Linked DNA regions of Oryctolagus cuniculus. The protein of the gene in region 7 interacts with the protein of the main gene of each other region in a pairwise test. Links are inferred from orthologs where the notes say so. Each region holds a gene or a part of one and is shown on either strand. Other genes may lie near its edges.

Region 1 (4,533 bases), on a different chromosome or scaffold from region 7:
CGTTCTGCTGGGCAACTCCTGTGGCCTGAAGGTCTCGACTGGAAACAGAGGCCATCCAAAGGCTGCGCATAGGAAGAGAGGGCCCTTTGCCCTTCAAAGTGCGCATTTTCACTGCTTCTGCCAACGGGATAAATCATTCTGTCCGTTTCCCTGGGCAGTAGTGGAGGTTAGACAGAAGCGAAAAGTTTACAGCTTAATAAGTAGGGCTGTATCCCTCAGCCGGCTGCACAGACACAGCTGAAAAGACCAACCCCAATAAAATGAGAGGAGCAGGGCGGCCATGCTCTCTTCCAGGACTGGCATCAGTTACGGGGCGCGGGTAGGGGGAGACTTTCCAAGCCACAGCCCCCTTCCTGGGGGGATCTGCGGGGGCGCCCGCAGGGCAGGGGAGGGGGCTTCCCTGGCTTGCCCCTCTCCTCCCCCTACCCCCGCCCCCGCCCCTCCCCCGTCTCCACGCTGGTTGCTTACATCCCCTCTTCCACCGGCCCCATTTTTGCTGACTGTTCTAGCCTAGCTTCAGTCCCAGGGAAAATGGAAGAGGCTCGGTGCTCTGAAAAATTCCAGCAGCTAAGGTTTTTCTTAACGGGATACGAATTGCGTCATCGACACCTCCCTCTGCGCGCCCCCGACACCTACACATCCTCGTCTTCCTGGAAGGAGCTCCTGCGCCCTACAGGGTGCACCGAGCCACGAAGGCCAGGCTCGGCGAGGGCACTTGCCCAGGTGGGGTGGCCTGGGAGCGACGCCGCGGCTCCCACCGGGGAGGGCCGCGGGTGCTGAGGATTCGGGGCACGCCGGTGTCAGGGCAGAACTTGGGAACTGGCCGAATTCAAGTCCGTCGTAGGCAAAGGTGCCTGCGGGCCCAGCCCCGGGAATTGGGCAGACAGAAAACGTGGAGTTCCAGGGGCCGGAGAGCGCCGACGGCCTGGAGGTGGTGGTGCGGGCCGCCGGTCTGCGGTTCGGGCACACGCTCCCCGCGCGGTTCGCTTTGGGGCGACCAGGGCCGTCGAGAAGGGAAAGAGACGGGTTGGGGGCGCACTGTGGCTGCCGGCCCGGAAACAGCAGCCCTCTGACTCCAACGCAGACCCTGGGTCCCCGCGGAGCCAGGAGCGCGCGGAGGAGTCCAAGTTGAACGAACTGCCCTCCACGCACCCGAAGGACCCGGACTCAGCGCGCAGACCCCACTCTGGCCGAGGCCAGTAAATCGGAAACCTGGGCTGCCCGCTTCCCCCCTGCACGCCTCCTGTCCTGCAATCCACCGGGATTGCTGGTCAGAGAGAGGAGCATAAAATTGGGGGCGGGGCGGGGCGGCACCAGCGCAGCACTTGAGCACCCGCGCCGCGCGGCGTGAACTTGCACGAGCCCCGCCCAGACCGGCAGCCCCCTGCCAGGAGCCCGCGCCTGCCCCGCGCGCCCCGCCCCGCGTCCCTCCGTCTCCCCTTTTCTCGCCCCGCGCGCCCGGGTCCCGCGCCGACCTCGCAGCTCGCGGCCGAGCCGGGCTGCGCGTGGGCGCGCCGGGCGGCCCGGATCCGTGCGCCGGGGGTATCCGCGCTCCGCGTTTTAGCTCGCGCCGGCCGGGGCCGGGCCGGGGGCGGGGCGCGGGGGCCGAGCGTCTCCGCCGCAGCCCGCAGCCCGCGCCGCCTCCCGGACGCCGCGCCGCCCGGCGGCTCTCCGGCTTTCCGAGGTCCGCGCGCCGCCGCCTGCGCTCGCCAGCCGCTGACGCCAGGACTGCAGCGTGCCGAGCGCCTGCGGTGAGTCCTGCGGGGGCCGTGACAGTGGCCGCGGCCGGGCGCGCCGCGGGGGAGAGGGCGCGAGGGGCCCGCTGGGCCGCGGGGACCTTGGAGGCACCGGGCTGCGGCACGGGCTCCCGAGGGGCGCCCGCAGGCACCGCGGCTCGATTCGCGCTCCTGCGCGCACCGCCGTCGGGGCCCGGGCAGGGGCCGCAGCTCGGGAGCCTGCGGACGCCCGTGCAGGGTCCGGGTCCTGCTCGCCGGGGAGGCCGCGCGCTTTTCGGCAGGGGCCCACCCGACTCCCGCGGGTCCCTGCGCTGCGGTTTGCTGCGGGTAGCGCCTACAGGGGAGAGAACGCGGGCGCCTCCTCCCAGGGGCGGAAAAAGTTGCAGAAGCCGGGCGTGTGGGTGACCGGAGGACCGGGGCAGGGGTACAGCGGGGGCTTGACGCGACCGCTGCGCTCAGAGAGGAGCGCAGGGCGCCGCCGGCGACTGCAGGCAGGGCCATTTGGGGGACTTTGGGGAAATTGTCCCCAGATGGTCTCTGGGAGGAAGGGAACGGGGCGGCGGGTCGTCCCTGCCGGAGCGCTCGCCCGCCCGGGGAGGCTGAGGGGCGCCGCCCGCACGTCTGGGCGCCGGAGTCGGAGTCTGCGAGGCGGTGCAGCGCGCGGCGCGGGGGACCAGGCGGGTCGGGGTCCGCCGACTCCTGCGGCGCCGAGGTGCCTCGGGCTGCGGGAAGGGAGTCCGCGCCGAGGCCGAGTCGAACCCTGTGCGTGCGCCCGCGTGCGCTGTGCCCGCCACCGCGCAGGGCTGCGCTTGCCCGGGATGTTATGTAAGGGACGCGGTGCTCCATCCAGTGTTCCACACGCACTGCTGGAGTGCAGGAACTTCCGTCCGTGTCTGCACGTAGGTCCGGGGTGTAGACAGCCGCGACCGGCTCCAGATGTGTGCTCAGCTGTTGCCTGTCACGACAGTGACAAGTGGCCCTTCCCCACCGTGGTCCTCAGGGGGGTGTCAGCGTGCGGCCGCCGGGTGCGGGTGTGGGCTCGGGGCGGCAGCCTTGTTCGACCACCCCCAGCTGCGTGTCTGTTCCCACACTCTGCCTGCAAGATAGATCCGCTTTGAATTGAATACCAACTTAACCCAAAAATTCTGCTTTGAGCGAGACAGGATGACGCAATATTTGTCAAGCTTCTCCCTACCCCCACCCCCCACCGCCGGAACAATATTTACTCCCACCAGGGGATTTTCAACCGAAACAGCAGCCATTTATCTTGTGGTCCCAGCCTAGGTGGCGGGGCCAGGCCTGGGACAGAGATCTGGCCCTGTAGCCCAGCAGGGAGCTCCAGAAAGCAAAACGCAGCACCTGCTAGCACCAGAGGCTTTCCAAAGGCCATGGACCAGGCCAGTCAGGAAGCAGGGGAGATGTTTTACAGGCTCTTCCAGAGCTGTTTATGCAGCGGATTTAAAGGTTCACAGTGCGTGCGCTCTGCAGATTAAAACTGAGCAGTGCATGGATGTTACCCACGGCTCGGGGTTAGCACCCTTGCCCACAGAGTCCCACCTTTCTGAGTTCACCAGTGGGGGCCGGGAGAGATGCATGCTGGGGCTGTCTGAGGAGGGAGGCGGAGAGGAAGGAGAAACTCAGGCTGCAGGGGGGTGGACATATGCCTGTGAGGGAGTGGGTGGAGGCAGTTAATTTTTCCATCCTTAATTTGGTACTAATTGCTGATGGGTCTCTGAATGAGCCTGGTGGTTCAGAAGAGAAAGGGTCGTATCCGGCTGAAGCGACAGATACAATCAGTGCTGCGATTACGCTTTCGTCATGCAGGTCCACACTGGGTGGCCTGTCTACATTAAAGGGGTGTAATGAGTGAGCCGGGGTCAGCCACGTTGCATCTAGTATCAGCTGAGAGAGGCAAAGAACCCTGAACCACTCAGCTTAGCCCATTCCTCCCAGCTCGCTCTTCTATGGTCACTGCGAAGGAAAAGCAAAACAAGTTAAAATTTCTGGTTTCTTTAAGGATTTTTAAAACTGTCCTCAGAACTTCTCTAAAATCTCTTCTAATTGCTTGAAAGCCAGACACTGAGAGTGGAGTGTCGAGACTGTTTTAACACTCACGAGGGGGAACGAGAATCTTGAAAAGTTGCTTTCCTCTCGTGAAGTCCCTCTGCTAATGGTGTAGCCCTGTGCTGCAGTCGTGGGCTAGCAGAGGGCAGAGTTCTCCCAGGCGAGTCTCCCTGCTTGCATTCTGGTGTCTGCGGTTCATTTCCTGGTCAGAGCAGCTGGTACAGAGAAGTCACAGTGGCTCTTGTCTGCTGGTGGAAGTTACAGAGGCCCCTTGACCAGGAGAGGCTCCTCCCCTTGTGAAAACAGCTCTCTGTTTTCTCCGTGTTGTTTAAAAGAGCAGGGACTACAGGAGTTCTAAAATTGCTTGCATCCGTGTGTAATTACCACGCTCAAGAGGAGGAGAGGGAGCGGGACTTGGGTTTCTAGCTGGCTCGGGTGCTGTTTCTGGGGCCAGGGCTACTTTTTCTTCTCGCTGCACTAGGTAGCTTTAGAAGCCTGGGAGAGGCAAGCCCAACAGTCGGGTTCCAAGTCCTGCACTGTGGCCATTCCTCGCCACCATGGGCAGCACGTGGAGCCAGCACTCCAGGACGGAGTGCCAGGGATCAGGATGGCGCTGGAGGGGCTGAGCTGCCCAGCCTTCTCCACTTCCCCACCTCTAGGGGCACCCCCCAGCATCCTCCCTGGGTACCGTGTGCAGTGTGGGTGAACTGGGGGAGTGGGGCGGGGAAGCATG
Region 2 (3,760 bases), on a different chromosome or scaffold from region 7:
GATCAAATCCAGAGTGGGGTAGATGCTTTGTTTGGACTCAGGTGAGAGCAGAGAACACCTACTTCATGCAGCATAAGTTGGCCTCCCTTTCCAATAACATCGGTTCAGTTACATCTGTAAGTCGGGTGTTGCATGTATGATCCCTGAAGCCCCCGTGGAGCCAGCAAGTGCTTTATGTCCAGGGACTCAGTAATCACTTGAACAGAGCTTTACTAATTTAGAGTCCTAAGGCATCCAGACCTGCATTGTCCAATAAGACAGTCACTGGCCACATGTACCTCACATACAGTCTACATGACTATTTTATGTTAAATTCATTACAATTAAATAAAACTTAAAATTTCCCTGTTGCCACTCTGCCTGTCAAAAAAAAAAAAAAAAAACTTAAAATACTAAAAAAAAAAAAAAATTCCCTGTTGCACTTGCCATGTTTCATGTAGTCAATGGCTACATGTGATGTACATAGGAGACATTCCCATCCACTGCAGGAAGTTCTGGGCCATGCTGATGCTAGACCAACAGTGATGGTATCTTTTTGGAAAGTCTGATATGGTGCAAAGACGAGCAGAGGAAATACCGTTAACTAGGTTGACAGAAGTACAGCAGCGTACTGGGTACACCACAAAGCAGCAAACCTAGACGGTCAGCCCATTTCTTGCCTATCCTCTCACTGCAAACTCGAAACCTTACTTGCTCTGTTTATTCTTTTCTACCATCTACTAATGGAAGTAAAAGGTCCACTTCCACAATTCCAGGAAGATGGTCGGGATTAAATTTGTTTTCAGGTTGGGAAAGAAAAATCAAGTCTGTGGAACCTGTAGCTGCCCAAGAAGCAAACAGGCATTGTGGTGACAGTGAACTTGCAAGACTTACTGAATATGACTCTGTATTTCTCCAGCTGGTTCGCCTGGGCGAACACAGTGGCTTCTGAGATCAGCAGCTTCTCTTGGAGATCTTGGTAGCGTTGTTTGCATTGTGCCAGCTGGGAGCGCAGGTGCTTGGTGGACCCTGGGAGGCTAAATTCTGACTGAGGCACAGGGTCCCACGCCTGGGACTGGTTATCCAGCTGTGAAAGGGGCCAACACAGGGATCAGGGCAGCGCAAGCTCATCCCACACCCAGGAGCAGACACTTCAGCCTCTGACCCCTGTGGACTCAATGCATGTGTCTGTCACAGCACTTCTCACGCCATCCGGCAGTTTCTTATTTTCCAGACAGAACTCCTGGAGAACTCGGATTTGCTTTATTCATCTCTGTATCTACAGCACCGAGCACAGCACCACTCAAATCTGGACAGGAGACCTCAGTAAACAAATGCCATCTCCCTGCTTTCCTTCTGCAGGGGCCATCTCAGATCCCTCTGTATTCTTCACTTTACTAAGTCCTCAGCAAAGCTGCTTCCCTTAAAGGGACCCCAACAACCCTTCTGAGACCCAGGAACTGTGTGAGCTGTGGTGAGCTGTGATGAGCTGTGATAAAAATGGCGGTGAGAAGAGTTGTCACTGCACAGTGACAATCTGCGCTGCCTCAAACCCAGTGCATCCCTACACCACAGCAGCTGCCACAACCTATGGCCTCTTTCCCCACCATCTTGAGGTCCTCAAAGGCATTGGTCAGGCTTTTTTGCCTGCTAATGCCTACTGTGTTACCTGGAAAATTAAGCACTCAGGAAACATTCATGAGATACTGCTGTAAAAGCATTCTAGGGCAGACTGTGTGCAGAATATTATCATCACCACTGTTTTTGGCGCAAAGGTGTTCTTCCCTCTGTATCTCCTGACACAAAAGGCAGAATTGTTTAAGGTAAAGACTGGTATCTCCAGCCCTTCTCCAAGTGTGTATTTTTTTTATCTCATCCATGCCCACACATACTTGCTGTGCATCCACAGGGCGGGCAGCTCCAAGGTCAAGGCTCTGGGGTCTGGGGCAGGGCTTCATGCTCACATCCTCCTCTTGGCCCTGGTGCTTCTCCAGAGAACAATGCAGTTCCGGGTTGCTTCCGTCAGCCTCCTTATCCTGATGCCCAAGGCGTTCCGGAGTGGGTTTACTCTTCCCTTCCTTGCTGCTCAGCACCAGCTGTTCTTTGAGGAGGTTGATGATGTTGTGGGCATTCTTCAGTTTTCCCTGGAGCTTTCTGAACTCAGCCTGAAGGCTGCTGTCATTCAGACCCCCTTTGGTGACTCCAGTCTCCACCATCACCTCGCCCTTCTCCTTGTCGTCCTCTATCTCCCATCCATCAGACATTGCTTCTCCCATCTGCTCTTTCAGTTCTGCATTCTCAAGGCAAAGGCTCAGCATGGCGTTCCTGGTGGAAACAGACACAATCAGGGGCTGGGGCTGGGCTTCACCACAGCTGCTAATAGTCCCTTTTACCCGCATCTAATTCCATGAATTCACTCAGAGACACCCCAGAGCATAAAGTAACCTCATAGATTTCCAACAGCTCCCCTATTTCACAGATGAGAAAACCAAGGCTCAGGAAGGCCGAGAGACTTGCCCATACGTCCACAGTGCCTCATTAAACTCTTGGTCGCGAGACACCCTGAGCCACACAGCCTCCTGTGTTCCAATTGTCAGTGGCCTCTGAACAAAACAAAATGGGGACTTACACTCTAAAGAAAAGAGCAGAAAGGCCCCTGCCTGCAATAATTGTATTGTAGTGGATTATATAATTGCATTAATTATAATCACCAACAGTTTTAAACCAATGGATGATAAATAGGGACCTAGGAACACCGAAGGAATAAATAATGCTAATCAGAATTATAAGCAAATGTACCTATATAATTATTTGCTTGTGGAGGCCGGCATTGTGGGGCTTCAAGGTAAGCCACCACCTGCGACACCAGCATCCCATGTTAGCACCAGTTCAAGTCCCAGCTGCTCCACTTCTGATCCAGATTCCTGCTAATGTGCCAAGGAAGGCAGCAGATGATGCCCCAAGTACTTGATCCACTGCCCCTCCCACATGTGGGAGGTGTGGATAGAGTTCCTGGCTCCTGGCTTTGGGATGGCTCAGCCCTAGCTATCAGAGCCATTGGAGGAGTGAACCAGCGGATGGCAGATCTCACTCTCTCTGTCTTCCCTCTCTCTTTCTGCAACTCCACCTTTCAAATAAATAAATAAATCTTTTTAAAAAAATAATTATTGGGCTGGTGTGTGGCATAGCAGATAAAGCTGCCACCTGCAATGCCAGCACCCCATGCAGGCACCAGTTTGTGTCCTGGCTGCTCCACTTCCAATCCAGCTTCCTGCTAATGCTATGAGAAAAGTAGCAGAGGATTACCGTTAACCTAACATTACTGATTTTTTTCTCTAAAGAATGTATGGAAGCATTCATGCCCAGAGCCTGGGATGTGGACTAAGCAGTCCATGGCAACATGACTGCCCTGGTTGCAGCAAAGTGACTGCCTTGGCCACGGTGCCTCATGCCTAGGAAGCTCCCCTCTCTTGGCAGAACATCCTACCTGATGTGGGACACAGAGGAGAATCCTGCTTCCTCAATTTGAGCCTTTAGCTCCTTCAGTTCCCCCTCAGCTTTTCTCTTCTCCTCTAAGTGCTGGTGAACCTCAGCCCTCAGTTGCAGCATTTCCTCCTGAAGACACCTGTTACTGTCCCCGCCTACTGGGGAGGGGGAGGAAAGCGACATGTCTGGGGTGTCCACAGTTGCTAGACTTTTCTCCAAAGCCACTTTGATGAGCTGAAAAAAAATCAGAGGTTAAAGAAGTTAGGTCATTAAAGAGGATCCAAGAACAGGACAT
Region 3 (3,760 bases), on a different chromosome or scaffold from region 7:
AAAATATTTTGTCTAGAATGAAAATTAATCACTGAAATTTAAAAACATAATATTTTCATAGCCCATGGCTATCAAAGTACATTAATCACAAAGTCCAAATCCCTTCATGAGATAGGTAGGCAAGGTGAATGGAAAAAATACAGAATGTAAAGTAATAAGGAAATGCATATGGTAGAGAACAAGACTCTTCTAAAAGTATTAAAATTCACTTAAATGAAAAACAGTAGTAACCCAAACCAAAACACATTTTGGGGTTTAATTTATCCTGGAGCTGCTAGCTTTTCTCTCCTGAGCAACAATACTTTTATATTAACTGAACAGTCATTTCTACATCTATAATGTAATATCAAAGAAATACTGAACAAAGTATAAAATCTCATCACTTTCCTTCATACTCACCTTGTGCTTTTTCACTTAGCTAACTAGGCACAGTATATCATTATTATGGAAATAGTGCTAGGAAAGATCCCAACTTCTAGTCAGTTAATGACATGTCAAATTTAATCCACACCAGAAAGAAACAGAGAAAGAAAGGAAGGGAAGGAGGTAGGGAGGAAGAGAAAGTTCTCCCAATTCTGTTTCTAAATCTCAGGCTGCTAGCACTCACTTGCATTTTTCAGTAGTGCAGTAAGCTGTCGCATCATCTGGATAAGGACTGATGATCTGAAAATTCCTTGAACTCTGCCCTAGCAGTTTCGTGTCCTCGTATGGGACTTCATTTATGAATTCATTGGATTTCTGATGCATGCTTCCCTTGGAATTCATAGTCAGTTGCTCATCTGACTGTGCACTTTTATTTCTCCCTGCAGTTTCTTGCTCAGGATAAATGTGGGCTATATCTGTATTTAAACAAACATAACATGATATATGAGACACCATAGCTGCTTATTAAATACAAATGAATAGTAATGAATAGTTTTTTCTGAATAGTCCTAAAACTTTAAATATACACTTACCAATCTTACTCCTACTATAATTGGATAAGCATGTACAGAGTGGTTGTTGCCATCAATATTCCTATTTCCAAAGTCAATAGACACTTATGATTGTAACTGACAATGTTGCACATTGGAATAATGTAAGGAGTCAAAAATATCTTAAACCCATACCACACCCTATTTTAATAAAATCAGAATCTCTGGGATTAGGACCCAATCTTTATATTTTAAGCTCACTATAGATGATTTCAGTATACATTTAAGATTGAAAACCACTGGTTGAGAGATGTACTGTTTTCTAGATACAGTAAGTTAAGGGTCATAGGAAAATGATAATGTACATGGAATGGTGGTTATGACTGCGTGGGTTAGAACTTCAGCTCTACCAAATGCATAGCTTTGGGCTGGTTACTTAACCTTTCCATGCTTCAGTTTCTTGTTCATAAAAGGGAACTATAACGTCATCTATTTCACTGAGTTGTTGTGAGGACTCAACTAATACATGCGAAGTACTTGGTCTAGGACCTGACACATTAATAAACATTAGCTGCTATTTTTCTAAGCATCACAACATGAAAATGTATAGAATATAATAATTATTTCTAACCCTCATTTTATCAGGTATGTACCATGCACGAGTATACTGCAAAAAATTCATGAAAAATGGAATTAAAAGTATGAGCTCATTTTCATGCAAAAGTTTTTCCACAATACACAGAAAATACAAATTCTGAAAAAATCATGCATGGATATAAAAAAAATTGTGCCAAGGAAAAAAGCTCCTCATACTTTTATTTACACATCATTGGTGAAGTACTCTCAAATTAGAGAATAATATCTGGATATATCACACAACTTATTTTTAAGTTACCACTAGTAAATATAATCTGTTTCAAAGGAGTAGTGCACATTTCAAAGCATAGTATGGTTTCTGGGAGAAAAATCATACATGCACACATAACTTTTTTACTAGTACATTAGATCAACAGCACAAATGGTGATTGCAATTATCATTTCATTATTTCTAGCAGAAATAATCTTGAAGTTTTTTTTAAAGAATTATTTTATTTTAATTTTTTTATTTGAAAGAGTTAGAGAGAGGTAGAGCCAGAGAGAGACAGAGAGAGAGAGAGAGAGAGGTCCTCCATTCTGCTAGTTCACTCCCCAAACGACCGCAATGGCCAGAGCTGAGATAATCCGAAGCCAGGAGCCAGAAGCCTCCTCTGGGTCTCCTATGTGGGTGCAGGGGCCCAGGGAGTTGGGCCATCCTCCACTGCTTTTCCAGGCCATAGCAGTGAGCTGGATAGGAAGCGGAACAGCTGGGGCTCACATGGAATGCCAGCACTTCAGGCTGGGGCTTTAGTCCACTGGACCACAGGGACGGCCCTTGAACTTTTCAAAAAGCAAATTCTAAAATTTTAAACTCTTAATTTTAAAGTATTTTTAAAGAACCTGTACTGTGTGATTAGGCTCTGTCTTTGGGTATCTCTAATTTTATTCATCAGTAAAAGCTTTTTTTAAAATAATTATTTGTTATTTATAAGGCAGAGTGACAAGAGTGAAACAAGAGAGAGAGACAGAGAAACAGAAGATCCTCCTTTTGCTAACTCATTCCCCAAATACCTGTAATAGCCAAAACTAGGCATTGCTGAAACCAGGAGCCAAGATCTCCATCCAAGTCTCTGACAGGGGTAGCAGGGACCCAAATACATGCACCATCATGCACTGCCTTCCAAATGCATGAGCAGAGTGCCGAATGAAAAGCTAGAGTAGCATGGCCTCACATGAAGCACTCTGATACTAGATACAGGCATCCAAGCAACACATTCACCCATTGTGCCACAACACCAGCCATCAGTAGAAAAATCTTTTAGGGCTTTATTCTGAACTGTTCATCAGACATTTAAAGACTTTTATAAATCACATTCTGCATATTCTCTACTGAGAATATAATTTCACCTTATATTAAAAAAGGCTGATTCATAAAATTTTCCTGACTTTTTTTAAAAAAACTATTTTGACAAGTATAATTTTAGCAAATTAGAGTTAAAATCTTCTTGGGCCAGTACTGTGGCTCACTTGGTTAATCCTCCACCAGTGGCACCAGCATCCCATATGGGCGCCGGGTTCTAATCCAGGTTGCTCCTCTTCCTGTCCAGCTCTCTGCTGTGGCCCAGGAGGGCAGTGGAGGATGGCCTAAGTGCTTGGGTCTCTGCATCCACGTGGGAGACCAGGAAGAGGAACCTGGCTCTTGGCTTATGATTGGCACAGCGCCGGCCATGGCAGCCATTTGGGGAGTAAACCAACAGAATGAAGACCTTTCTCTTTGTCTATAACTCTACCTTTCAAATAAAAATAAAAATAAAAATAAAATAAAACAAAATAAAATCTTCTGAAGGTTCTCAATGCAGTCCTTCTCAGTAATACTACATTATCCTCTACCAATATTTAATTATTTCGTATCAAAAGTTTAACTCTTCTATCAAATTTATTCAATATTTTAATGATAACTCATGGAAAACCTACAGTGTGATTTATCCTGTGATAGGTACTAGGGAAACAAAGATAAGCAAGCAACAGATATTCCCCTTAAGGACTCAACAGTACAGTGATTACTGCAAACTGATTCAATGACTTGAATATAATGCAGTAAGGACTATACTAGGGTTATAGAGATCACGTACATGTAAAATGCCACACATAGTCAGATGTTCACATTTTTTGCTTCCACAGAGAAAGGGAATATGCAAAGTAATAAAACTTCCAAAGGGTTAGAGTTAAGTGAAGTAAACAAAATGGTGATGGGGCCAGCGCTGAGTCGC
Region 4 (3,760 bases), on a different chromosome or scaffold from region 7:
AGGTCTTCCATCTGCTGGTTCAGTCCCCAATTGGCCGCAATGGCTATAGCTGCACCGATCCGAAGCCAGGAGCCAGGTGCTTCTTCCAGGTCTCCCACGTGGGTGCAGGGGCCCGAGGACTTGGGCCGTCTTCTGCTGCTTTCTCAGGCCACAGCAGAGAGCTGGACTGGAAGTGGAGCAGCCAGGACTTGAACCGGCGCCCATATGGGATGCCAACACTGCAGGCGGTGGCTTTACCCACTACACCAGAGCACCGGCCCCTATTTTATTTATTTTGAAAGGCAGAGTAACAGAGAGAGAGGGGGACACAGAGAGATCTTCTGTCCATTCGTTCACTCCCCAAATGGCCACAACGCATGGGGCTGGGCCAGGCTGAAACCAGGAACCTGGAACTCTACAGGCCTCCCACATGGGTGGCAGGGGCCCAGGCACGTGAGGTCCTCTGCTGCCTTCTCAGATGCCTCTGGAATTTGCCACTCTCATCTCTTCCCTCCCTTCCCTCCACCGTCCCCCCCCCCCCCCCCAGCTGTAAGGTCTTGGCTGCAGCACCTGCTCAGGGTGCCCAGGGCCTTCTGGGTAATCATGGCTCAGGGTGCCCAGGGCCTTCTGGGTAACCATGGCCCACGGGGGAAAGTCAGGAGTTGGACAGTCCCAGTCCTGACGCGATTGTAACAGTGCCCGGTTTTCCTCTTCTGACCCCAAAACAGATCCCTAAGGAGGTGGCTGACATCTTCAACGCCCCCAGCGACGAGGAGGAGGAGGAGTTCCTGGGCTTTGCAGATGAGGTTCCCATGGAAACCCTCTCGCCAGAGGGGAGCCGTGATAGCTTTGACTCCCTGGCGTCCCCGGCGCAGGTAGGATGCTGCTTCCTCCCCAGGCCTGAGCCTGGGGGCCGAGACGCCTCGGTTTGTGCGTGGCTTGCGGTCACTGAGGCCGCTTAGCCGGTGGGCGTCCCATCGCCAAAACTTTGCGCCTCTTGGTTTCTTCCCGCCCATGGTATTATTGTTGTTGTTGTTGTTATTAATAGAGAACCCTCATGTGATCAGATCTTTGCTCTGCTCCCTGCTGTATTCAGAACCCCCCCACCATGGCTGGCAGGGAGTGGGCCCCGCCTTTGCCGTGGCCGCCCGCGGGGTGCAGCAGGTGCTCCTGCCTCTTTGCAGCTGCTGGGCCAGTGTCATTCTCGGATCGCTTTGATCTGTAGCAAGCACAAGTTACAGTTCTGCCGGGGCTCACTTCCTGGAGGTTTGTCTCGTGCCGCAGCCATCAGAATACCTCCCTTTCCGCGGTGTTTCTGTGCCTTGCCACTGCCCTGACCGCGGCCGCTGTGTGGAGGCCCACCCTGGCTGCTGCTGGCCGCAGCAGGAAGGGAAGCAGTTAGTGTGATGAGGGGAAGGGGCTGCCTGACTGCTTGTTGGTGACCCTGGCCTCGTCTCGTCTCTAAGTGCAGATGCTAGGATCCGCCTCCAGAGCCTGGCCCATCTCTAAGTGCAGATGCTAGGATCCGTCTCCAGAGCCTGGCCCATCTCCTAAGTGCAGATGCTAGGAGTCTGTCTCCAGACCCTGGCCCATCTCCTAAGTGCAGATGCTAGGATCCGTCTCCAGACCCTGGCCCATCTCCTAAGTGCAGATGCTAGGAGTCTGTCTCCAGACCCTGGCCCGTCTCTAAGTGCAGATGCTAGGATCCATCTCCAGAACCTGGCCCATCTCTAAGTGCAGATGCTAAGATCCATCTCCAGACCCTGGCCCTGGCCACGGCCCCAGGCCCCCTGCATCCCACTCTGCCGCTGCTCTTCCCGCATACCTCGGCTCTTGCTCCTGCCACAGTGCCTCTCTGCGGCCCGCTGGGGGAGCCTGCTCCTGTGTGCAGAGGGACCTGCCTGCCCCGTCCTCTGTCTGCCAGCTGGCCAGCTGGCTTTCCTGGTTCCCCGTCTTTAGCTCCATCTTTCACTGCCCTTGATCCATCCTTCCTCCTCGTCCTCCTCCTCCTGTCTTGGCGATTCCCATCCGGGGGGGAGGAAACTTCTGCCGTGTTTCGCACACTGATGCCTTCCCCCACTTCGCTCTGCATCTGCTGGAGCCCTCGTCCTTCCCACCAGGGTCCCGTGTAGGCCTGGGCTCTGGCCACGCCCCCTCTCCTGCCAATCGTCTTCAGAGCAGGTCAGGCAGCAGGGGGGGTGGAGCCTGGGGCATGGACCCTGGGGGCCTTCGGAGCCAGCAGAGAACCTGGCCTGCCCTGGGCCTTAAGAGACAGAGCAGCTGTTGGGAGACTGCTGACTTGGTCACACGTGCCCTTTATGGTGCCCAGTGTGACCGCAGCACCCTCAGCCGGCCTATGGCAGTGTGCATGGGGAGCAGGGAGCCCGGCCAGGGTTGGAGGCCAGCGTGCAGCGAGGCTGGCCGCAGGAGAGCTTCGCCTCTGTGGGGAAAGGAAGATAAATGACAGCGCAGGCTTGGGTTTAGGACAACTGCTGAGTTTTTCTCCCGTGTCGATCAGGCCAGCAAAGATGTTGATTCCTCCCGGGCTGCCGGCTGCCTGCTGAGGCCAGCACTGAGCACAGCGGGAGCTAGGAGGACTGGGAGATCGGGGCTCCCTGCTGTTCCGGGGCCCCTGGCATTCAGTGGTCCGCTCTGGGTGGTTAATGCAGTTTCCATACAGACCCCATTGCCCTGCAGGTACCTGGCGACTTTAGCCAGGGCCGGGCCCTGAGTCCACACCCTCACGCTGTGTTCTCACAGCTCAGAGCCGCTGCAGGGACTTGGAGATGGTGCCCACCCTGGGCTCCCCGACCACACTTTGAATCTCACGTTACAGAAACTTCCCTTTTGTGGGTGCATCCCCCCCCCCAAAAAAAAAACAGCTGCACCACTGCTATCAATAAAGGAACAGAGTAATCTAGAATGGAGCAAACTCTTGCAGTTACCCACAGTCATTCATAAGAGACATTTTCAAGCTTAAAAAACGGTACATCTGGCCGGCGCCGTGGCTCACTAGGCTAATCTTCTGCCTTGCGGCGCCGGCACACCAGGTTCTAGTCCTGGTCGGGGCACCGGATTCTGTCCCGGTTGCCCCTCTTCCAGGCCAGCTCTCTGCTGTGGCCAGGGAGTGCAGTGGAGGATGGCCCAGGTGCTTGGGCCCTGCACCCCATGGGAGACCAGGAAAAGCACCTGGCTCCTGCCATCGGATCAGCGCTGTGTGCCAGCCGCAGCGACCATTGGAGGGAGAACCAACGGCAAAGGAAGACCTTTCTCTCTGTCTCTCTCTCTCTCATTGTCCACTCTGCCTGTCAAAAAAAAAAAAAAAAAAGGTACATCCAGGGCAGGAGGCACGAGGACCCCGGCTGGAGCCCTGGGGAGTGGTTGTGGGCTTGCAGGGGGCCACTCTGGGGGGGCTTCCCCAAAGTCTGCAGGTTTTCCTCTGCTTTCTTTGGAGCACTCTTAGGAGAGCTGGGTTTCCTCCTTTGTGGTATTGCAGAAGAAAGGAGTTACAGGGAGGGAGGCGAGAGACAGAGATCCATCTTCCACCCACTGGTTCACACCCAGTATGGGGTGCCGGCACTGCAGGCGGCGGCTTAACCTGTTACACCACGACGCGGGCCGCACAAAGATTTTTCCTTTCTTTTTAAAGGTTTATTCACTTATTTGTAAGGTACCATTACAGAAAGAGGGAGAGAGAGAGAATCTTTGATCTGCTGGTTTACTCTTCAAATGGCTGCAATGGCTGGGGCTGGGCCAGACTGAAGCCAGGAGCTTCTTCTGG
Region 5 (4,372 bases), on a different chromosome or scaffold from region 7:
ATATGTTGGAAAAACTAGACAGCGATAGTTTTTAAAATATTTTTATTCTTATACATCTATTTGATAAGTTCAAATGTAGAACATTTAAAATCTGGGTGAACAAGAACTATTTTGACAAGGACTGGAAGGGGAGTGGGGGGATGGGTGGGTCACTGTCACCGGGTCCTAGCCATCTCCCCAGGTGGTTTCTCTGCGCGACCTCTGATCAGCACAGCTCCGGAACTGCAGTCCTTTTCCAGCGCCCCAGCTGGAGTCTCAGAACACTCTGTTCCACAGATCCGGCTCTTTAAAGATGAGCACTAAGAGATTTGCACTGTGAGGCTGAGCAGTATTACCTAAACAATGCACGTTTCTTTCCATTAATATAAACATGGAATGATTTACAGTCAACACACACTAGCCTCGACGCTGATAACAATGTGATGGTTCACGGTTCCTGCGAGCCAGGCCCTGGGCTAAACATCTGCACGTGCGACTTCACATTTATCTCCATGGGAAGAGTCACGGGTTCACACTTGTCACAGCCGAGGGTGCCGGCATGTCGACAGCGGGCGCCGCAGCCAGCAAGCCCATCGGCATTGTAGCAGCTCCCCATGCTCTGTGCAGTGTCGGCGGAGTTACAGGAACGGGCAGGCCAGAACCCCCTCCCTCCAAGAAAAACACAACGAAAACAGCAGGCAGCTAGGCCTTTACTACTCGGGACCAGGACAGCAGCTGCGGGCCGGGTCTGCACGGCAGCCCTCTTTCCTGGGGCTCAGAAGTGCCCCTCCAGGCCCAACTGCAGGAGCGCGGCCTCAGCCTCCTCCTCCTCCTCCTTGGCCTCCTCCTCACGGATCTGCACCAGCAGCTGGAAGAGGTTCGGGGCCGGCCCTTCCGCAGCGCCGGTCAGCCAGAGCTGCCTTCGGAGGGTCCCGCTGTGGTTGGCCCCGGCGATGACCTGCTCCAGGCGGGCCTGGTTCACGTTCTCTTTATCAATGGCCCCCTTCTCCACCACCTTCTGCAGCAGCGGCTCCAGACGAATGACGTAAGCCGACAACTTCTCTCCCGGGTTCTGGTACGTGTTCAGAAACCTGACCTGCGCATCCCTAGAGCTCTCCACGCTCCCGAACACCTGCTCCAGCGCCTTCAGGCACTCGCCGGTGGTGATCGCGGGGTTGCTGGTCTTGAGGATGCGGATGACGTCGGCGGCGGGGCCCCGGAGGCTCTCCATCAGCCGCCGCCTCTTTTCTGTGTCGGACACCTGCCACTCCTCTATGACTTCATTAGCGTGCTCCAGCCAGCAGTCAAAGCTCTCCTCCCCAGGCCCCGGGATGTCCCTCCCCGAGAACAGCGTCAGCTTCTTGTACCATATGGACTCCACGAGAGGCTGAATAACATTATCCAAAATATAGCTGAGCATCTCGGCTGGCATTTCGGGGCCCGGGGCCGGGGCCGGGTTCTGAAACCCAAGGACGCGGGCAACATCTTGCACGGTCCACCCCTCCCGAGCTAGGAAGAGGTGCAGCCTTTCTAAAAATTCAGCGTCAGACGTGGGGGGCTTAAAAAGCACTTTCCACACCCCTCCTTTGCCAGGCATCTCCCTGGGGATCGCGGCGTAATCCACAGCGCCAGTGAGCTCTAATAAGGCTGCTTTCGCGTTCTCTTCCCTCCAGAACATTCTCCCAAGCACTCGATACGGCACCTGGGGCATCGCAGCCTGGAGGGTCTCTTCGATTTCAGCCTCATCACAGTTCACTAGGATCCCCCAAACCAGCAGCGCTCTCTGGGAGTTCACGTCCATGCCCCTGCACCAATCTTCCAACAGCGTCATCGCCATGTTCCCAACTATCAAAGGTACCGATTCGACAGATACGGATCAGACTGCGGCTCCCCGAACTCCAACCAACACCAGACACTCCCCGCAAGCAGGCGCGCGGGCGGCAGGTCCCCGCGGTCGCTGGTAACAAGCGACACCCAAGCCCCGCTGTCCGTCTGCGGCTCCCCGGCGCGGCCTCGCAGGGGCTCAGTCAGTCACGCGGCTGTCGCCATCTCGCGTCCCGGGTCGGGGTCTGCGGCCCCAGAGTGCAGCCTGCGGGAGCCGCGGGGCCCGGGAGCGCCGGGGTGTGGCCGCGGGGCGTGGCCGCCGCTCCCGGAGTCGCCCCGGCGCTGGCGGTCCGAGCCCGGCCCTCAGCGGGGCGAGGAGCGGCAGCCCGAAGGAGCGCTCGGCGTGCCGGGCCCGGCGGGAGAGGCTGTCCGAGGTCACCGCGGCGGCAGCCGGGCCAGCCGGCGAGCAGCGGCTTCTTCTCGGGCGCGGGGACCCCTCCGGACAGCGAGGACCGCTGAAAACCGAGGGCTGAGGGGAGCAAAGACGCAGGAAGGATGCAGAAGCGAGGCGGGAGGCGAAGGCTGGTGGGGCCGGCCGGGCTCGCGTGGCGCGACGGGCTGCGGCGGCTGTGGCGCAGCTCGGCAGCCGGCGCGTTCCCGCCGCAGTGCAGGGCGGGGCCGGCCCGCGAGCCGCGGCCGCCGCACCGGATCCAGGTCGCCGGCGAGGCGCGCGCGCGTGACCATGGCAACGGTGTCCCGGACGACGCGCTCCCGAAGACTCCGTGCGCAGCGGCGCGGGGTGGGGGGAGCGGTTGCCATGGTACCGCAGCCATCAGATGTTCCAGACTTTTACAATGAAAAAAAAAATACCAATAAGCATCGAGGGCTTCTGTCTTCTAATCCGGAGCGGATTTCAGATACTAGTGGGTATCACCCGTGGTGGCTGACTTGCTCATGCAACTGGCGCATCAAGCCAGGTGCGTGGACGGCATCTCATCCAGAGGAAACGAAGGCTCCCAAGTATCCCACTTGTGTGACACACAGACTGGACACTTCCTCTTATCTTTTTTTTTTTTCTAATTTTTTTTTTTTTTTGACAGGCAGAGTGGACAGTGAGAGAGAGAGACAGAGAGAAAGGTCTTCCTTTGCCGTTGGTTCACCCTCCAATGGCCGGTGCGCTGCGGCCGGCGCACCGCGCTGATCCGATGGCAGGAGCCAGGAGCCAGGTGCTTTTCCTGGTCTCCCATGGGGTGCAGGGCCCAAGCACCTGGGCCATCCTCCACTGCACTCCCTGGCCACAGCAGAGAGCTGGCCTGGAAGAGGGGCAACCGGGACAGAATCCGGCGCCCCAACCGGGACTAGAACCCGGTGTGCCGGCGCCGCTAGGCGGAGGATTAGCCTAGTGAGCCGCGGCGCCGGCCACTTCCTCTTATCTAACACTTAGTCAAAAGGCCGGCCACCTACCTACCTACAGCTGGCAACGCACCAGTATTCTGTAATCCCTGCCTCGGGTACTCTTCAAGCCAGAGCAAGGGCCGCTTCGGTCAATCTCAGAGGATGAAAATCCCCCAAAAGAACACAGCATCCAACTCTGAATTTTTAAAACCTTATTTAATGAAAGGTTTAAAGATACAGAAGAACATTCAAAAGTAAATAAGTTACATAGGTACATTACAATCACATCAGCAAGATTCTCTTTAGTGTATTAATTTTTATATAAAAAGCACACAAAAAATAAAATCTTCCATCTGCTCTATCACAACTGTACAGCCAAAGAGGTAATATTTATATATTTATATATATGTACACCATTTTCATATGTAACAGTCTTTTTTAAAAAAGGTTGCCACAGGCAGCAAACACACAAAAGGCAGTGTCTGATCATCTGTTTCAAAATAAAAGGAATATACTTCTTTATATGCTATTAAAATATTTGTACAATAATTACAGACTGTCAAGGCTGTCCCCTCCTACAAGGCCTTCAACTTGGAGACAAATGAGTAAAAGGTGAAACAGAAACAGCTGCAAATCGTTAGAGGCAAACAGTAACACAGCAAAATGGGGGGGGGAGGACACTTGTTTTATAAAAATATGCACACTTCCTGTAAACCTAAAGGAGTCAGGCTTGCCAGTCTAGTAATAAATACTGTCCAGAAAAGCGGGCCCCCGTGGAGAGGGTGCTAAACAGCCGAGGCTTCGGGATGTGTTGTGTTCCTTCTTCATCTAGGCATCTGGCACATGAGAGATCAGGTCACTGAGGCAGTTAAGTATGGGCAGTTCCTTTGGCCGTGAGCAGCACGAGACCTCCGTGCCTGGGCGGAGGTGCGGCGGCAGAGGGGCGAGTGTGTGCCTCAGCGGTGAGGGGCGCTGCCGAAGGCATGGAGGACAGAACGATGTCACCGTCTCCTCGGATGGGAGAGACCTCAGAGACGGTCCAGAACACAGGCACTAGGGCAGTGTCACGCCGGTGGCTGACGGCAGGTGGACACTGGGAGATGGATATGGGGAGGCGGCGTGGGGAGATTACAAAGCTAGAGGTGTCTCTCGTCTAACTTCTTACAGCAAAGAG
Region 6 (4,303 bases), on a different chromosome or scaffold from region 7:
ACACTCAGTTTAACTTTCTAGTGTCGTTATACTTTAAAAATGGTATCTGAAAATAAAATACAATATATGAGACTATGGCACAAACACCCTATGAAAACAACAAGAAGCTGAAAAAATAAGGGACTTTTATGAAGAAACTGTTTGAACCTAAAAATTGCTTATCCTTTTTATGTTTGTGTGTGTGTGTGTGTGTGTGTGTGTGATGGGGGAAGAGTACTCACCAGGAATTGTCTCCTTAAACAAATCTTACTTTCAAAACGCACAGGTGTATATTACATCTAGGGCATCAGAGGACTGCTGTAAAAACCGAGTATCTGTAATTCAACTGTAGAAAAATGCAAGGGGATGAAGTCAGCGCTGAGGTTCAGAAGTTCTTGGGTTGTTTAAGAAAGATGACATACTAAATAGTAAGAAATATTCCTATTCAAGCTGGGCCCTTAAAAAACTGGCAGAATCACGCCAGTCTCATTCTTCACTAAAAATCTAATTTACCAACCTCAAGGTCATGTTCATTTTCACGCACTTGGATGGCCAAAAAGACGACAAAAGGTTAAGTTACTGAGTGAGCTCCGACCAGAGGCTCCCAGATAAAAAAGTTTAAATAGTATTAAACAGAAAACGATCCAGTATTAAATATGAAGTGAGATTGTACATCTTTTCGTTTTCTTCGTTAAACATCACCGGTTTTCCGGAAATGGGGTCTGGCGAAGCACCAGCATGTGCAGAAGAAATAGTGGGCAGGAACCAGGGTTTTCACTGCTTGTTTTGCCACTTCCCAAATCAACCCAGCCTCGGCGGCACAGCGCTGACCGAGGCCTGGTCGCCTCACTCCCCGAGGCCGAAGAAGAACCCCACCTGGTAGGCTTCCTGGAAACCGGCCCCGTCGGCTGCGGCAGCGGCTGCGCCAACAGCAGCTCTGAGGAGTAATGGGCTCGCCGAACTCAGGTCCCAGACGATTCCGGCTCCCGGGGCCAACTAGCACAAAGACACCGCCACCAAGCAGCAGGTGTCCCAGAGGGAGCGGAGGCGCCTGCGCATGCGCGTTCCCGCCAGGTGCGACCGGCCCGGGCCGCGGGTACGGAAAGAAGTCTCGCGGCTGGTTACTAGGAGACGGGACGCTCGGGCCGGGAGCTGGGCGCTGCGTGGGCGTGCGCCTGCGCGGCGCGGATGGGCCAGAGAGACGCCTCTCCTCGGCGCCCTGTACGGCGGGCAGGTGGATGTACGCGACGCTACGTGCGTAGGTGCGCGCGCGCACGGCTGTAGTCCTGTCGAGAGGGAGGGTCGAGCCAGGTACGCGTGCGCACGGGGACCGGAGGCGCGTGGGACGGAAGCGGAGCCAAGGCGCCGCTGAGGTGGAAGACGAGCCCGCCCCAGGTACAGAGCGTGAGGGCGGGGCCGAGGGCGGCTCCGGCCGGCGCTAACCGCCCCCGCCCGCTTGCCGCCGGGTCCCCTCCCTCCTCCGACTCCGCCGGGGCGGGGCCAGGTCGACTGGGGGTGTGGGAAGGGCGGGGACAGGGGCGGAGGATGGAGGCGGGGAGGGCCCCGGCTCGCCGGCGGAGGCCGAAGCCCGGCAGTCGCCGGGATGAGCTCCGCGGAGGACGCGGGGCCCAGGAGCCCGAGGAGGGACCCGGAGCGCCAGGTAGAAGCACGGAGGATGCGCCGGGGTGGCGGGGTGGGCTCTCCTGGGCTTGAAGGCCCCGGCCGCGGGAGGGTGGGAGTGGTCGGCGTGGGGGCTGCGGGCGACCTGAGGAGGGTCCTCGCTGCCCGAGCCGCGGTGAGGGGCCGGAGCGGACGGAGCGGCGGGGTCCGTGTTGTCCGGCCTTGGGAGCCTAGTCCCTATGGTGACCGCCCCGCCTCCTGTCGCTCCCCGCTCCGTTGTTGGGGACGCGGTTTTGTTTGGGAACTCTGTAGCGGAGCTGAGGAATTTGGAAGGCGAGAGATGGGGAGGTTCAGCCTGGCTCTCAGTCTCTCTTCAGAGTCTCCATAGACTTAGGGAATCGGGGGCCGAGACCGTAGCAGGCATTTGCATGAAATCCTCGTATAATTTCAGGAGAAACTACAGCGAAGGCAGGGTAGCAGGGCTGTGTTCGGAAAAGATCCTTGAGCCTGGTTGATCAGGGACCTGACACTGAAATGCACAGGGATACACTTGTGTGGGGGTTTTTTTTGCCCGTCAGATAAAGTCAAGGATTGCGGCTTTAGGAAGTTTTGCATGTCGGACAGAGTTCCAGCGCTTGTATACCACGACATCCGATGCTTTAAACTTCCTCTGCTGATTGTCAGCCCTTTTTTTTTTTTTTTAATTTATTTGACAGGTAGTGTTATAGACAGAGAGAGAGGTCTTCCTTCCGTTGGCTCACTCCCCAAATGGCCGCTACGGCCGGCCAGCACTGCGCGGATCCGAAGCCAGGAGCCAGGTGCTTCCTCCTGGTCTCCCATGGGGTGCAGGACCCAAGCACCTGGGCCATCCTCCACTGCACTCCCTGGCCACAGCAGAGAGCTGGACTGGAAGAGGAGCAATCGGGACAGAATCCGGCGCTAGAATCCGGGACTAGAACCGGGGGTGCCGGCGCTGCAGGCGGAGGATTAGCCTAGTGAGCCGCGGCGCCGGCCAATTCTTAATTGTATTTTAAGTAATCTGTAACCCAATCCCTGAGTCCTAATCAGTGGGAAATTTACTTTATTAATTTATTATTAAATTTACATTAAACCCTGAGGCAATACTTAATGGTGGCTTTCAAAATATATCACAACTGTTAACTTTCTGAAAAAAGAAAAAAAAGTCACTGCTTGTTGTCTGGAGTATAATCAGGTATCCAGACTGGTTGGGCTCTCCTTTCTGTCTTTTTCAGTTGTTTGAAGCAGTTTGCTTTAGGATGCTTGGTTTTTAAAGTCTCCGTACGCAGAGGCAATCGGAGCAGGTGTCACTGTTCATCCTCTTCAGATCATCCATCCCTTTCTCTCCCCACAGGTAGCAACTATCTCAACTTCTAATAGGATTTTTCCTTACAGTTTGAAACTATATATGTGAACATGGGAGTTTAGTTTGCCTTTTTTTTTAAACTTTATATAAATAGAATTGTATTTAGGTATTCTTGCTGTTGCTTGTAGTTGGTTTGCTGGCTAGTGTTCTATGTTCTGTTGTAAGGGTGTATTACAGTTTAAATACTGCACTGTTGGTGGACATTAAGGTTTTTACAGTTTTTGGCAATGATGAATGACACTGCAATGAACTTTTCATACATGTATTTCAGGATAACCTTTCGAAGTGAGCTCATTAGCAAAGTAATTATTTTTGTTAAGCTATTAACATCAGTCTTTTATGTTAATAAATTCTTGTAGCCCAGAAGAGCTTCTTGAAAACAACTGTGTAATCCCTGATGGAGCAAGGACAAAAAGCCTTAGATCCATGTTGACGTCTCAGCTACATAACAGCAAGCGAGCCCCCTTGTCTCTGCCCTGCTAATACAGCCCGCCCTGCTGTGATCAGCCCTGCCCTGCCTGGACTGCTGGACACTCCACTATCTGAAGAGTCCAGCTATCAGGCTGAGCTCGCCCCGCTCCTCCCAAACTCTCTCCCTTCCCCTCCCTCGGTTCAGCAGCCCAGCCTCAGCCCAGACCCCTCCCAGTTCACACCGTAATCTCTCAGGACCTTTAGAACTAGCTCAAGCTCTCCCTGTATCTCAGACCCCAAGCCCTCTTTGCCACTTTGTACTATATAAACTGCTAGTCTGTAAGGGAAGGGGCTCTCTCTGCTGTGTGTTCACCTGGGAGTGAGCCCCTCCCTGGCTTTATTCTTCTGAATAAGCCTGGCCTGGCTGTGGCTTCATACTCTGTCTGTTTCCTGGTAATTCCTTTTTGTGTTTCCAAGAGGTCTTGATAAACATTATTTCTCCTGTGGCCATTTTTTATGCTTCTTTGAAAAGACAAGTTATTTCTTTACACTTATGTGTGGATTGTGGAAAAGAGAGGAGCTTGGGTTTGGATGGAATGACCAGGGAGGTTCTTCTTCTTAAGAAGGATTGAACAGTGGGGCTTTACTGTTTTGTCTGACGTGAATTCCCAAAACATTTATTCAATTATGTTTATTGTAAATAAAAGGAGTCAAAATTATATATAAAAATTCTGTGTGGTTTTCCACATCTTTCTGTTAGTAAGGCTATTTCTACTTCAGAGTGTGTATAAGTCTAAAAACTTCTGGAGATCATTAAAAAAAAAAGATTTATTATTTAAAAGAATGATTGAGTGAGAGAGAGACCTTCCATCCAGTGGTTCACTCCCCAGATGGCCCCAACGGCCAGGG
Region 7 (4,433 bases):
GTGGGGGGACCCCGTCTCTCTCCGCTCACCTTGACCGTGCGGATGTAGTCCAGCGCGTTGGGGACCAGCGACTCCAGCTCGGGGAACCTCTTCGAGTACTTATCCCGGATGAACTTGTGGATGATGTCTGCGGGGGGCGGCAGCGCAGGCGGCTGAGGAGGGCGGAGGCAGAGTCCCCTGGTTCTCCCCAGGCCCCGCCTCCCCCTTCCTCTGCACTGCCCTCAGATGCCGGCGTCTCGGCAGAGCCTGTCCCGGCTGCCGGCTGAGCGAGGACGGCAGCTCATGCCCCTCCTTGCCTCCTGGCCTTGCTGGTGGGACGTGAAGGCGCTGGCCGGAAGTGGGGCGGTCGCCTTGTCCCACGAGCCAGCGGCAGATCCACATGACAGCAAGAGCCCGGGCACCACGGCGTGGCTCCCTGAGAGGAAAAGCTCCTCTCCCTACGTGAGCCACGCCGCTTCAGCGCTGTCCCCCCGCCCCCCGCCGTGCCCGCTCTCATGCACGGGGCCCGGGCAGGGTGTGGGAGAGGCCAGCAGGGCAGGGTGGCCCGGGGTCCCAGGCAGGGCCAGCTCGGCCTGGCACTCACTCAGCTCGTTCTCGATCTCCACGGTCAGGTTGTTGGCGTCCACGATGACACGGTACTCAGGGGCCGCCTCCACCGGTCCCATCACTGAGGAGGAGGAGCCGGGGTGCGGGGCTCAGTCCGAAGGCACCTTCCCCAGGGGCCCACGGCTGGGGAGGCGGGGACCGGGGGAGGGGCTGACGAGGGTACGGCCTGAAGCTGAGCCCAGACGCTGGCTGGCGGGGGCTGAGGGGGGTTGGTGAGGGGTCTCCCCACACCCCGGCGGTGCTGGTGCTGCCTGTCAGACACCAGGCTGTGAGACGCGGTGCATCCACATCCCCCCCTGCTGGGCATGGCCGGGCCTGACCTGGGGAAGTGTCCCTCCCTATGGCTTGGGAGAAGTGCCCGGCTGGCCCCCAAGCCCCGGGCTCCTTCTCTGCTCAGCGCAGGTACTCAGGCTCCGGAGTCTGGTTCAGGACCCCCGAGGCAGGACCGAACAGTCCCACCCTGAGCCCCTCCGACAACTGCCTGGGACCCGCCTGTCTCCTGCACCAGACCCTGAGCATCTCAAGAGCAGGGACCCGGGAAACACTAGGTGAAGGGGGAACCAGTTTCTCGGAGCCTCTGCTCTCGGCCCACTCCCCTCCCCCATGCCCAGCAACCTCCCCCCGCCCCGCTTCCTGGTGCCAGTGACCGCCACCAAGAGCCCTGGGTGACAAAGAGCAAGGGGCAGAAACAGGACAGCCCTCCCAGGAGCTGACCTGCACATTCAACATCTGACCCGGTGGGCCCCGATGTCAGAAGCGGGAAAAGGCTTTAGATAATAATTTAACAGTAAGTTATTTACTTTTATTGCTAACTCGTATCTACCAAAGCGTACAGTAGTAATGCTTCCTTCTTAGATAAAGGTAAAGGACAGGCTGGCGTTGTGGCAGTGGGTTAAAGCGCCACCTCCAACACCAGCATCCCATACGAACACAGGTTCGAGTCCCGGCTGCTCCACTTCTGACCCAGCTCCTTGCTAATGCGCCCGGGAAATCAGTGGAAGCTGGCCCCTGCCATGCCTGTGGGAGACCCAAACGGAGTCCCTGGCTCCCAGCCCTGGCCGCTGTAGTCATCTCCGGAGTGAGGCACCATGTAGAACATCTCTCTCTCTCTCTCTCTAATTCTGCTTTTCTAGTAATAATAATAATAAAAAAAAAACCCACAAGGATAAAAAATAGAAAGCATAGAAACAGAAAGTCAAGATTTCTAAGAAACTTAAAGGGACAAGTCCCCTGATGTCAGGTCCTACGGCTGGCGTCTCACGGCCGTGGCAAAGGCCGTGTGCGCGCCCCACGCGAGCTTGGACGCCCTGAGGTGTGCCCAGCGGCAAGCAGCAGGCGCTCAGCACAGGGCGAGGAGGTCAGAAACACCAGCCCTGGGATGCAGGGGGGCTTTCAGGAAGAAAGGGGGGCTAGGCCGGGCTGAAGGCAGAGCCAGCTGTCGGCGGGTCGGCGGGACGCAGGGGCCAGGGCCGCGCCGGGCGGGGAGGGGTGGGGGGCAGCACCTTCCGCCGCCTTCGCCTGCTTGCTGATGTACTCCTCGATCTTCATCATGATCTCCGCGAACTGCGGGAAGCCGGGGACAGTCAGAACCAGAGCCCCAACCCCCGCTCCCGGGGGCGCCCGCATCTCCCTCCTCTCACCATCTTGCTGTCCCATAGCTTGGCGATGCTCTTGACCGAGTCCCCCGAGAGATCCAGCTGCGCCTCCTCCTGCACATCCTCGATGGCCGGCTCCTCCTCCTCCTCCCCGTAGCTTCCTCCCTCTTCCTCTTCTGCCGCCTCTTCGAGGTCGGCCAGGAGCTCGTCCGCCAGAGACATCCCGCGACCTGCGGGGGAGGCGTTTCCCCTCGGACTGTGTCCCCCCTGGGCCCCCGCTCCTGGGAGGGGCCACGCCCCCAGCGCCCAGCCCAGCCCCGGCCCAGCCCCTTCTTCACCGAGCCCACCGCCGCAGGCTGCCCAGGACAGGCACTCCCGCCTGCTTCGCTGGCCGGGCTAGCCCCAGCCGGGACCCATGAAAGCCCCCCACCCAACTCCGGGCGAGCCTGACAACCCTGTCCTCGCCTCCAGGTCTCCGCGAGCCCTACCTTCCCACCGCCGGGACCCCCGCAGCCCACCCCCACGGGAGTAGGCCCGGACGCCTCACATGCAGGGGACCCCGTAAGGGACCACCTGGTTAAGCCTGCCTCCCCGCCGTCAACCCAAGCTCTAACGTCCGAGCTGTCCCCAGGGCCGGACCCCGGGCGGGGAGCGCCGTAGGACCTCCGCCTCTCCCCTCTCCCACTCCGCCCCCCGCCCCGTCCTGCGCACCCCACTCACCACGACCGTTTGCAGCAAGTGAGCAGCTTCCCCGAGCGGCCGGCGCGCACTGATGACGTCCCACGCCCGCGTCGCCGGCGCTGCGCTCTGATTGGCCCTCGGCCGCGCGTTCGGAACAACAACTTTATTAGCACCCGCGCGGAGGAGGAGACGGGGTGAGTCCCGGAGAGGAGAGCTGGAGCCTGCTGAGCGGAGGATCGCCGTGGCTGCACGACAGTGTCGACAGGAGAATACAGGCGGTGGCACGCAGACGAGAAACCCGGGACTCGGGAGGGTGGAGGTGGGGATGGCGGGGCGCGGGAGGTGAGGGCACGAGGCCGAAAACAGGAGCCCGCACCCCCCAGCCCCACTCCCAGAGGGCCCGGGTGGCAGCCCCGGCGCGCCGCGAAGCCTGGGCCCGAGGCTGGAGACCCGGCCGCGAGTCGGACGGCCCGGGGCGCCCGGAGCGGGACAGCGATGGAGCTGGAGCAGAGAGAGGGGTGAGCGGCGGGTCTGCACCGCGCGCGGGCGGCTGCGGGAGGCGGGGGCTGGGGCCCGGGCGCGCGGCGTCCCTGAGCGTCCGCGACCGCCCGCGACCCTGCAGGACCATGGCGGCCGTGGGCTTTGAGGAGTTCTCGGCGCCGCCGGGCTCGGAGTTGGCGCTGCCTCCGCTCTTCGGCGGCCACATTCTGGAGAGCGAGCTCGAGACGGAAGTGGAGTTCGTGTCCGGCGGCCTGGGCGGCTCGGGGCTCCGGGAGCGGGAGGAGGAAGAGGAGGCCGCCCGGGGCCGGCGGCGGCGCCAGCGGGAGCTGAACCGCAGGAAGTACCAGGCGCTGGGGCGGCGTTGCCGGGAGATAGAGCAGGTGGGTGGGTGCGTCCCCTGCGTGGGCGTGTCGACCTAGCTTCGCCCACGCACTCTGCCCCGGGAGCTCCCTGACACCCCCAGGTGGAAGCGCGGGCCCCCGCCTCCCCTACCCGAGCCCGGGCCTCGCCCCCCACCCCCAGCCCTGCTGCAGCTTCCCTGGCCCGGAGGAGGATGGAGCGGGAGCCAGGCTCGGCGCCGCGGGACAAGGTCTCTGGGTTCCTCCCCGTCTTGCCCGTCAGGGGGCGCCGCGGGAGCGGTCCTGTTCTGTGGCCTCTTAGCAGGGGCTCCGGGGGCCTCCCCCGGTTCCTGGCCCTCTCCTGCTCTGGGAAGCCGCGCCTGGATCTCGGCCTCTGGACTTTCCGGTGTTCACGAAGCACACAGCGCTGGAGTAGGCCTTACACAGGGGCCTCCTTTGAACTTGGTCTGCTCTGTAGGGGCCCGGTGCTGGGGTTGGGCCTCCAACACGCCTTTTCAAGGGGAGGGGGAAGGAACACAGTTCAGCCCTTCAAGTGGTGTTGGGGTTCGGGGAGAGGCGGGAGGTATCTGCTTAGCAAATGGGTGCTGGGCCCAGGGGGACTCTGTGAGCCTCTGCCCTTAGCCCACCCTCCCTAGGGATGAATCCTCATTGTCCCCGTTTGGAAATGCAAAAACGTGAGGCTGAGGCTAAG

The links.
Region 1: the proteins of PRPF31 (region 7) and PRICKLE1 interact in binary tests that used the Homo sapiens proteins (3 or more experiments, as listed by UniProt). The two-hybrid records come from large-scale screens. The link is inferred for Oryctolagus cuniculus from reciprocal best matches to the Homo sapiens genes PRPF31 and PRICKLE1.
Region 2: the proteins of PRPF31 (region 7) and PDE4DIP interact in binary tests that used the Homo sapiens proteins (3 or more experiments, as listed by UniProt). The two-hybrid records come from large-scale screens. The link is inferred for Oryctolagus cuniculus from reciprocal best matches to the Homo sapiens genes PRPF31 and PDE4DIP.
Region 3: the proteins of PRPF31 (region 7) and MIPOL1 interact in binary tests that used the Homo sapiens proteins (3 or more experiments, as listed by UniProt). The two-hybrid records come from large-scale screens. The link is inferred for Oryctolagus cuniculus from reciprocal best matches to the Homo sapiens genes PRPF31 and MIPOL1.
Region 4: the proteins of PRPF31 (region 7) and CDCA7L interact in binary tests that used the Homo sapiens proteins (3 or more experiments, as listed by UniProt). The two-hybrid records come from large-scale screens. The link is inferred for Oryctolagus cuniculus from reciprocal best matches to the Homo sapiens genes PRPF31 and CDCA7L.
Region 5: the proteins of PRPF31 (region 7) and PNMA1 interact in binary tests that used the Homo sapiens proteins (3 or more experiments, as listed by UniProt). The two-hybrid records come from large-scale screens. The link is inferred for Oryctolagus cuniculus from reciprocal best matches to the Homo sapiens genes PRPF31 and PNMA1.
Region 6: the proteins of PRPF31 (region 7) and TSGA10 interact in binary tests that used the Homo sapiens proteins (3 or more experiments, as listed by UniProt). The two-hybrid records come from large-scale screens. The link is inferred for Oryctolagus cuniculus from reciprocal best matches to the Homo sapiens genes PRPF31 and TSGA10.

What each region holds. Positions count from the first base shown.
Region 1 is NC_091440.1:133,849,807-133,854,339, reverse strand, and holds the start of PRICKLE1 (prickle-like protein 1), read left to right. Parts: upstream 1-1,604; 5' UTR 1,605-1,751; intron 1,752-4,533. UniProt on the Homo sapiens protein: Involved in the planar cell polarity pathway that controls convergent extension during gastrulation and neural tube closure.
Region 2 is NC_091438.1:50,658,075-50,661,834, reverse strand, and holds part of PDE4DIP (myomegalin), read right to left. Parts: intron 3,700-3,760; coding exon 3,467-3,699; intron 2,305-3,466; coding exon 1,872-2,304; intron 1,067-1,871; coding exon 874-1,066; intron 1-873. UniProt on the Homo sapiens protein: Functions as an anchor sequestering components of the cAMP-dependent pathway to Golgi and/or centrosomes.
Region 3 is NC_091443.1:38,300,153-38,303,912, forward strand, and holds part of MIPOL1 (mirror-image polydactyly gene 1 protein), read right to left. Parts: intron 840-3,760; coding exon 608-839; intron 551-607; exon of another isoform or gene 1-550.
Region 4 is NC_091447.1:13,939,609-13,943,368, reverse strand, and holds part of CDCA7L (cell division cycle-associated 7-like protein), read left to right. Parts: intron 1-707; coding exon 708-854; intron 855-3,760. UniProt on the Homo sapiens protein: Plays a role in transcriptional regulation as a repressor that inhibits monoamine oxidase A (MAOA) activity and gene expression by binding to the promoter.
Region 5 is NC_091451.1:19,888,718-19,893,089, forward strand, and holds PNMA1 (paraneoplastic antigen Ma1), read right to left. Parts: upstream 2,868-4,372; 5' UTR 1,817-2,867; coding exon 755-1,816; 3' UTR 26-754; downstream 1-25.
Region 6 is NC_091433.1:109,297,223-109,301,525, forward strand, and holds the start of TSGA10 (testis-specific gene 10 protein), read left to right. Parts: upstream 1-1,476; 5' UTR 1,477-1,582; coding exon 1,583-1,639; intron 1,640-2,867; exon of another isoform or gene 2,868-2,971; intron 2,972-4,303. UniProt on the Homo sapiens protein: Plays a role in spermatogenesis. When overexpressed, prevents nuclear localization of HIF1A.
Region 7 is NC_091449.1:4,564,644-4,569,076, forward strand, and holds the start of PRPF31 (U4/U6 small nuclear ribonucleoprotein Prp31), read right to left. Parts: upstream 3,053-4,433; 5' UTR 2,922-3,052; exon of another isoform or gene 2,690-2,921; intron 2,432-2,689; 5' UTR 2,424-2,431; coding exon 2,247-2,423; intron 2,170-2,246; coding exon 2,109-2,169; intron 668-2,108; coding exon 584-667; intron 128-583; coding exon 30-127; intron 1-29. UniProt on the Homo sapiens protein: Involved in pre-mRNA splicing as component of the spliceosome. Required for the assembly of the U4/U5/U6 tri-snRNP complex, one of the building blocks of the spliceosome.